Linked DNA regions of Caenorhabditis elegans. The protein of the gene in region 1 purifies or fractionates together with the protein of each later gene. This does not show direct contact. Each region holds a gene or a part of one and is shown on either strand. Other genes may lie near its edges.

What was found. The genes of interacting proteins can lie anywhere in the genome.
Region 2: the proteins of cct-5 (region 1) and srh-301 fractionate together in Caenorhabditis elegans (co-fractionation; one large-scale study listed by BioGRID). This does not show direct contact.

The regions. Positions count from the first base shown.
Region 1 is NC_003281.10:4,506,375-4,510,129, reverse strand, and holds the start of cct-5 (T-complex protein 1 subunit epsilon), read left to right. Parts: upstream 1-2,015; 5' UTR 2,016-2,045; coding exon 2,046-2,153; intron 2,154-2,260; coding exon 2,261-2,486; intron 2,487-3,755. Other genes in the region: F25F2.1 (Protein kinase domain-containing protein), read right to left, coding at 308-498, 898-1,152, 1,199-1,201.
Region 2 is NC_003283.11:17,823,215-17,826,969, reverse strand, and holds the start of srh-301 (Serpentine Receptor, class H), read right to left. Parts: upstream 2,061-3,755; coding exon 1,751-2,060; intron 1-1,750. Other genes in the region: srh-300 (Serpentine Receptor, class H), read right to left, coding at 3,081-3,344, 3,400-3,755.

The DNA of each region.
Region 1 (3,755 bases):
AATGAGCTAGGCAGGTTGGTAGGCATGAGGTAGGCCCTTCGGTGAGCAAACGTAAACACACAGGCAGCCATGGTGTATACACGAAGGTGGACCCGCAGGCCCGTTGGTAGGCATGAACTAGGCATTTAATAGATGCCTTCTAACCATAGAGTAGGCACACGGGTAGCCATAAAGTAGACGTCTAGGTAGGAATAAAGTAATTATGTAGGCATGGATGCCTTACGTAGGCATGCATAAGGTAGACACGCAGTTAGGCTTGATAAAGGCACAGGTAGGCACTTTGCGAGGCAACTCTTATTCCACTAACTTCTCAGCAATGACCACATGATCCGTCGATCTCAATTCAGCACGTGTCTTGAGGTAAGTGTTCAATGTTTTCACCGTCTCAATTGTGACTTTTGGATCGACATACATCTCTCGCCATTCGGCTTCCAGCACTTTCCGGGCAAAGTTCGGAGGATCTTCCGGTTTTCGGAACAGAGATCCCGCCATGCGATACTGAAAATGAGTACATAAATATCAAATTATAACCGAAAAAGTAGGCATAAAGGCGACCTACGCCTGCCTCATGGCTGCCACTTTCATCAAGCATTTGGAAGTAGGAAAGTATAATTCTGGGCATAGTTTGCTCTCTGCAACACCTTTTCCGAGTACGGTAGCTTCCCAGGTCCGCTAACACCATCAAGCATAACTTTACAGCATGCCTAAATAGGCATGTATTAGGCTCCATTTGCCGGCAAATTGCAGAAACACCGCAAAATGCCGTAGTTCTCGTGGTTTTTGCGTATTTTCGAAGGTACAGTAACCCTGAAACTGTATGATGCGCGATACTCCAATGCAACAGTCTGCCGAACGTGTAATAGTATCCAAAAAAGTTCAGAAATCCGGAATGTATACCTTCTTATCGATATTTGCAGCATCAACTGCTAATTTTGACTTGACTTTCTCGAGCTGTCTCTGACTTTCACCCGATTCTTCAGATTCTTCAGAAGTTGAAGAATCTCGTGCCTCTTTCTTCTTCTTTCTCTCCTTTTGCTTCTTTTTATCCTTCTTGTTCTTCTTTTCAAGACTATTCTTCTTCTGAGTCGATTTTTCTTTTTTCTTCTTATCCGCTTTCTTTTTCCGTTTATCGATTTTTTTAATTAAGCGATCCTGAACACCGGTATTCTCAGATATTCCTCAAGCCTTTTGATCTTACCATTCGTTTTTCTTATACTTCTCGAACGCTGGTTTTTGAAGCAAACACCAACTCGGACCACCGTAAAATTGAAACTGAATTTTATTTGTTTTTTTTTCAAAACCTTCCCCCCTTATCTCCACATTCAATCTATTTAGCACTCACGCTTTCAATACTTTCAATTAAAAAAGGCGAAAATTATTTGTTAAATAAATAAAATTTATTCTCGCTATAGTGTTTAAACTTTAATTTAAATTTAACTATTTAAATTTGACTATTTAAATAATTTCAGACCCAATTCTTTCCCTTCACTGTTCAATTTAAATCGAGAATAGTGGCGCCGAATTTCTCTGCGACTACGGTCAAAAATTGCGGACTTGCCGCGTACACCATGACGCGCAATTGCACATGTGACATTTTTCTAGAAGATTTTCAATTTTTTTCGTCAAAAAACGTTCATTTCACCTCAGTTTTTTTAAGTTGGCTGATGAAATTATATCCAGAAATTTAAAATTCAAACCTATTTCCAGTTTCTGTCCGCTCTGCACTCAGATTTAGCATTTTAGGTCGATTTTCAGTGTTCTTGGTATCATTGCATTTTAAAATTCTTCGAGAAGATCCCGAATAACCGAACAGCTGCCAATGTTGCTATTCCAATTTTCTTTCGTTCATTTTATTCATTCCTCGAGAATATTCTGCGGGTTTGATATCGAGAACATTGTTTCGAAATGCTGAATTTCGTTTCTTTTTCTTATTTTTGAAAATCAATTCTCTTTCAACAACTTATACTTAAATAATTTTCTCTTAATTAAAATTTTTAACATGCTAATATTTTCAGTGTCTGTCAAGACGGAACTTGGATAAGAAAATGGCGCAGTCATCTGCGCAACTACTGTTCGATGAGAGCGGGCAACCGTTCATCGTTATGCGTGAGCAGGAGAACCAGAAGCGTATCACCGGAGTTGAAGCTGTGAAAGTATGTAATAATTATTTTTTTAACCGGAACATTTAGTTTCTAAATGTTATGTTTTCATGTTTGACAAGTCCTGAAGTTTGTTCTTAAAATTAACTTCATTATTTCAGAGTCATATTCTTGCCGCTCGTGCTGTGGCCAACACTCTTCGCACATCTCTCGGTCCACGTGGACTCGACAAGATGCTCGTTTCTCCAGACGGCGATGTCACCATCACCAACGACGGAGCCACTATCATGGAGAAAATGGATGTGCAACATCACGTTGCCAAGCTTATGGTTGAGCTCTCCAAGTCTCAAGATCACGAAATTGGAGACGGAACCACTGGTGTCGTTGGTGCGTTTTTTTTTTTGGCAGAATTCAGCGCGCACCTCGTAAAATTAGATAGCTTAAACTTATTATGATTATCATGTGAGAGTTGAATATATTTTAGTTTAGAAAACCTTTCCTAATATCAAGTAAATTCCTAGCGAAATTCTTTCCTCTGGTGATTCTCTATGAACATTTTTCGATTCATGTCTAGAAAATGTCCACATTTCTCCCTTTTCTTCGTCGTAACTAAACCGTGTTTGCTTTCCGATTTTTCCTTTTTTGGTCGCTGTCCTTCATTTTCTTCTGCTGTGTAGTTTCGTCTGCAGCATAGTTTAAAATTATTTCGGTTTAACGTTTGAAATTCACCTCAACTACGTAAACCATAATCTTGATAAACTTCGGAATAGCTTTGATAGTTGTAACAAGATTTTCATTTTAAAAAAGCAAAGAGTTGATGTTATTGTCTGAGCTTGTGGATACAGCCGGCAAATCGAAATTTTGATTGCAGGATTTTTTGTAAACGTCACCAGCAGCTGCATTTTAAAATGCCATTGAGAAGCAAATTCGTGAGCATTTAGAGTAAAAGAACTGAAATGTTCATTGATTTTTTCATAAAATGACCGTATTTTTATGATGACTATGAGAAGCGCACCTATTTGTTGACGTCATAAACCCGGAATAAGTCTGAATTTCGAGACAATCAGTCTGAGTCACTCGGCAAAATTGGTTATCGATAATTTTTCGTGCTGGTTATAAAAACGAACTCTGTACACATGAAATTCGAAGTGAAACGTGTTTCATCTGCAATCTTTTCTTTATCAGTATCACACATTAAATCGAAATACTTTCTATCGAAAATGTATATTTTGTTGTCACCCTCTGGTCATTCATGATAATTAATTTAAAAAAAAAAGAACCCTTAGCCGTTCCTTTAAAAGTTTGAAATGTTTGATCTATGAGAAAGTGCGCCTGCTCGTTGTCGATCGTTCTAACTAAACAATCCATTTGCTCTCCTTTTTCGCTGTGCCCGACGCTCCGACAAAATAAAAAACGAAAAGATTGCTCATTTTTCTGATGGTGTGAGCACACAAAAGCCAACAGTTGAATGGGAGGTCTGTCGATTCTCCATGTTCTTTGATTCTTCATTGTTTCTATCTGCACCTTTCTATGACGAAGAAATACACGATAAGCTATCTTTCTTTCATTTTTTCAAGTGAATGTTGACCTCCAGACCTTGGAGTCTTAACAATTCTCCGTTTGCACCATTTTTCTTACGTAACCATATGTTTGCGA
Region 2 (3,755 bases), on another chromosome or scaffold:
CGCGAAAAGTGGTAGAATACATATGATGCCCGACTTTTAAGAAATTCGGTGGTACAGCAGCTAGATGAGTGCAAACGCGCTACACCGAACAAACGGGTACGGTTTGATCTACAAAAAATTCGGAAATTTTTTGCCCAGAAACATGTGAGGTCAGTTGAGAACTCTGCGTTTCATTTCCCGCTTTTTCTATAAATCTAACAAGGGAAGCCTTTCAGCTCGTCCTCGGACTTCCGAATGAGACCTATTTTATTCGAGAGAGGACCTTAATAGAAGGTCACTCCAAAATTTTTAGTCTCGGAGGAGCACTTTGAAGTGGGTAAACGGCGATCTGAAAATATGCCTCTACACCCTCACTCAAAAGCACTAATTTTGCATTAGTGGGAAGTTTGAAGAACATAAATAATAAGTAACGACATAATTTCAATTTAAATCGAAGATGGGTGGCGCAGTGGTAAACACTTCGCCCATCAGATGATAGATGTAGGTTCGTTTTCCGACATGGTTAATTTTTTTTTTCGAATTTTTCTTGCGCTCATGGAAGTCTGGAAGCATTCTGAAAATGCACATTTTCCAACTTTTAGGGTTAATACATTCATTCCCGTGCATGTACAAGTCAAGTCGTTCGCTTTTAGAAATATATATTTTTTTCAATTTTCAATGATTTTTGTGCGCATTTTTTTCCGAAAACTTTCTATAAAGTGACCAGATGTTATAGAACCATGCAAAACTGGATGTTTCTATAGTTAGAATGTTAAAAAACGAGTTTAACATCCAAAATTGAGGTATAGTAGTAGCCCTATGTTCAAAAAACGCATGATCTTTGGATACCTATATCTCCGTGAAAAAAATTTTTATGGCAAAGTGATCAACTACAAAGTTGTTTATCATAACTTAAAGTACAACTTTGTAGTTGATCGTTTTTTATCAAAAAATTTGTTGGTCGAGATAAAGTTGTGTAAAGTTCGTCACATTCATGCTCGAATTATTATCTTCTTTTCCTGTTCATATCACGACCAACAAATTTTTTGATAAAAAACAATTAACTACAAAGTTGTACTTTAAGTTATGATAAACAGCTTTGTAATTGATCACTTGGCCATAAAAATTTTTTTCACGGAGATATAGGTATCCAAAGATCATGCGTTTTTCGAGCATAGGGCTTTTCAGATCGATGTTTACCCACTTCAAAGTGCTCCTCCGAGACTAAAAATTTTGGAGTGACCTTCTATTAAGGTCCTCTTTCAATTATAATAGGTTTCATTCGGAAGTCCGAGGACGAGCTGAAAGTCTTCCCTTGTAAGTAAATCAAACCGACATGGGACACTATGACGCCACGTGTATAGCCAGTTTGGGGATGTCTCAACTTAACATTTTCTCTGATAGAAAGTTTTTGAGATATCAATATAAGATTTCAGAATGAGTATCATGAGCGAGGTTATTTAGTTTGTACCATGGCAAGTTGTACTCAACTGCAAATACGCTCTACCGAACACCAAATATAACCCGGTGAACTTTTGAAGTTTTGGTCCTAGTTTCTGTAAAACACGCAACGAATTCTGGCACGCGCGAAATTTCTCGTAGCAAAAACTACAGTAAAACTAAAGAAAATTTGAAAAAAAAAAATCAAGAAAATCGAGCCCGTAAATCGACACTGGCGCTGCTACAGTAGTTTTCGCTACGAATTTAATGTTACCATAGTATATGAGCACGGGGTTATTCTCGTTCACTATTTTCAAAAAAATAAACTCACATCTAAAAATAACAAAATGAATAAGGGTCCAAATTGGTGGTGGAACTCCCATCCAACCCCAGAGCCCCATTGAAAACCCAGCCAACGCTGGAGTACATTGATATGGCTGAACGAACAAGCTAATCGAAATATCCAGGGCGGCAGACCAGAAATGAAGGTTGAACAGCGCCCATTTCACTGATTTCATGATAACTGGAGTTTTATACAGAATACAGTACCCTCCGAATATATGAATTGGAAGTGAGAATGCAGAAATTATATAGAAGCACATGGAATAGACAAATGGATCCTTGAGAATTGTTAGAAGCATGTTAGGCGAGCCGAGATTAAATGAGAAAAGTAAAAGTAATTGTGCGCTGTTTTGGAGAACGACTGGAAGGAAAATGAAATTACTCGAGCAAGCATTGTCCTAACACGCAAATGCACACAAACAAAACAAAGTTCAGACTTCATTGATTGACATTTCCTTGAATACAACTAATTTGTGCGAATTACAAGTTTAACTATGATATTTGTTCACATTAGCACTCGTGGAATTGTTTTATCCAATTCGTAGTCGCTACTCCACTTTAATATAGCTATTTGTGGTTTCAATAGGTGATGAACTTTTCTAAGAAGACCCGTGTAGCTTTAATACACGGAGACACGATAGCTCAGTCGGTGGTGGTGTCCGCTAGTAATCTAGAGGTCACGAGTTCAAGTCCGGCCTTACCTCCTAGGTTCAACCAGGGTCTATTGGGAAGTGGAGCAATCCATGACTGGATTTTCGGCCACAGTCCCCGGCTAGGCTTAAATTATAGCCCAGTGGGAGTACCGCGGCAGTCTCTAATAGTGCACAAGTCGCGGAAAACCCGGAGATTAGTGCGGAACTCCGGAGTATATACGGTAATCAAAAAAAAACATTGAAAAAAGGTAACTTTTAAGGTTTAGTAACACATTCAAAAAGATTAGCATATTTGGGGTGTCAAGAAGTTTTGTATCAAAATTCATATCTTTTTTGTAACAAAATAGACTATTTGAAATTGCGACTTTGTTAGAAGAAGGAACTACATAGTGAATTATTCGAATAAACGTAAAATAAAAGTCAAAAACGATGTCTTGTCTGATTTTTTAAAAGGAAATGTCTCCAAGTTAAAAAAAAAGAGAGAAATATAATACATACGTTCGATCGATTTTGTATTCTATAGTTTTCTATTATTTCAATTATGCATTTTATGAGCATCTTCAATTTTTTTTGTTCCCGGTTCCAGGTTGGTTCATGCGAATGATATTAACTTTATTTCAGTGTTCACTTTTTTTAAAATAAGATCAAATAAGTGTTACTTGATAATCACACAAAACTCTTAGTAATTCGAGTTGCAGAAAAGATTCGAACAGTTTTAAGTTCAACTGGCTTTTTTCGACGAAGAACCACTGCCAGGAACACTTCACGATATGGTTTTTGCAGATATATCATCAGAATCGTAGCTGATAATCCATGGAGTGATGTTACAGTGTTCAGTAAGTTATCAACACCTTGTTGAACGGAATCTTGTGAAGCTAGATACGCACCAAAGACCGCCGGGATGAAGATGATCGCAATCGGAATAGCGATCTGAATTTGAATATTGATTTTTTCGCTAACTTTTTTTGACGTGGCAAGTAAGTACCTTAAGATTCAAGGCTCTTATGAACATCCTATGCTTGTGAAATGTATCACGTGATATTGATGTTTGAATATCCTTTGTAGCTCTATTCATTTTCACCCTTATCACTACAACGAAGACAACAATCTCCACTAACACCAACACTGTCAGAGCATTTTCCCGTAAGTTCGACCAATAATCATCACCAAGCGTCATCACAAATATAACAGACTTGGAGACGACAAGTTCACAGGCTTGAGGATACATCTCGAACATGACACGCTTGGCATTTTCCTGATCTTCCGGAACATCTAGATATACTGGAATGCAATAGGCAAGTACGAGCGTGTAGTTTAAAATAAGGAAAGGGTAACGTAGAT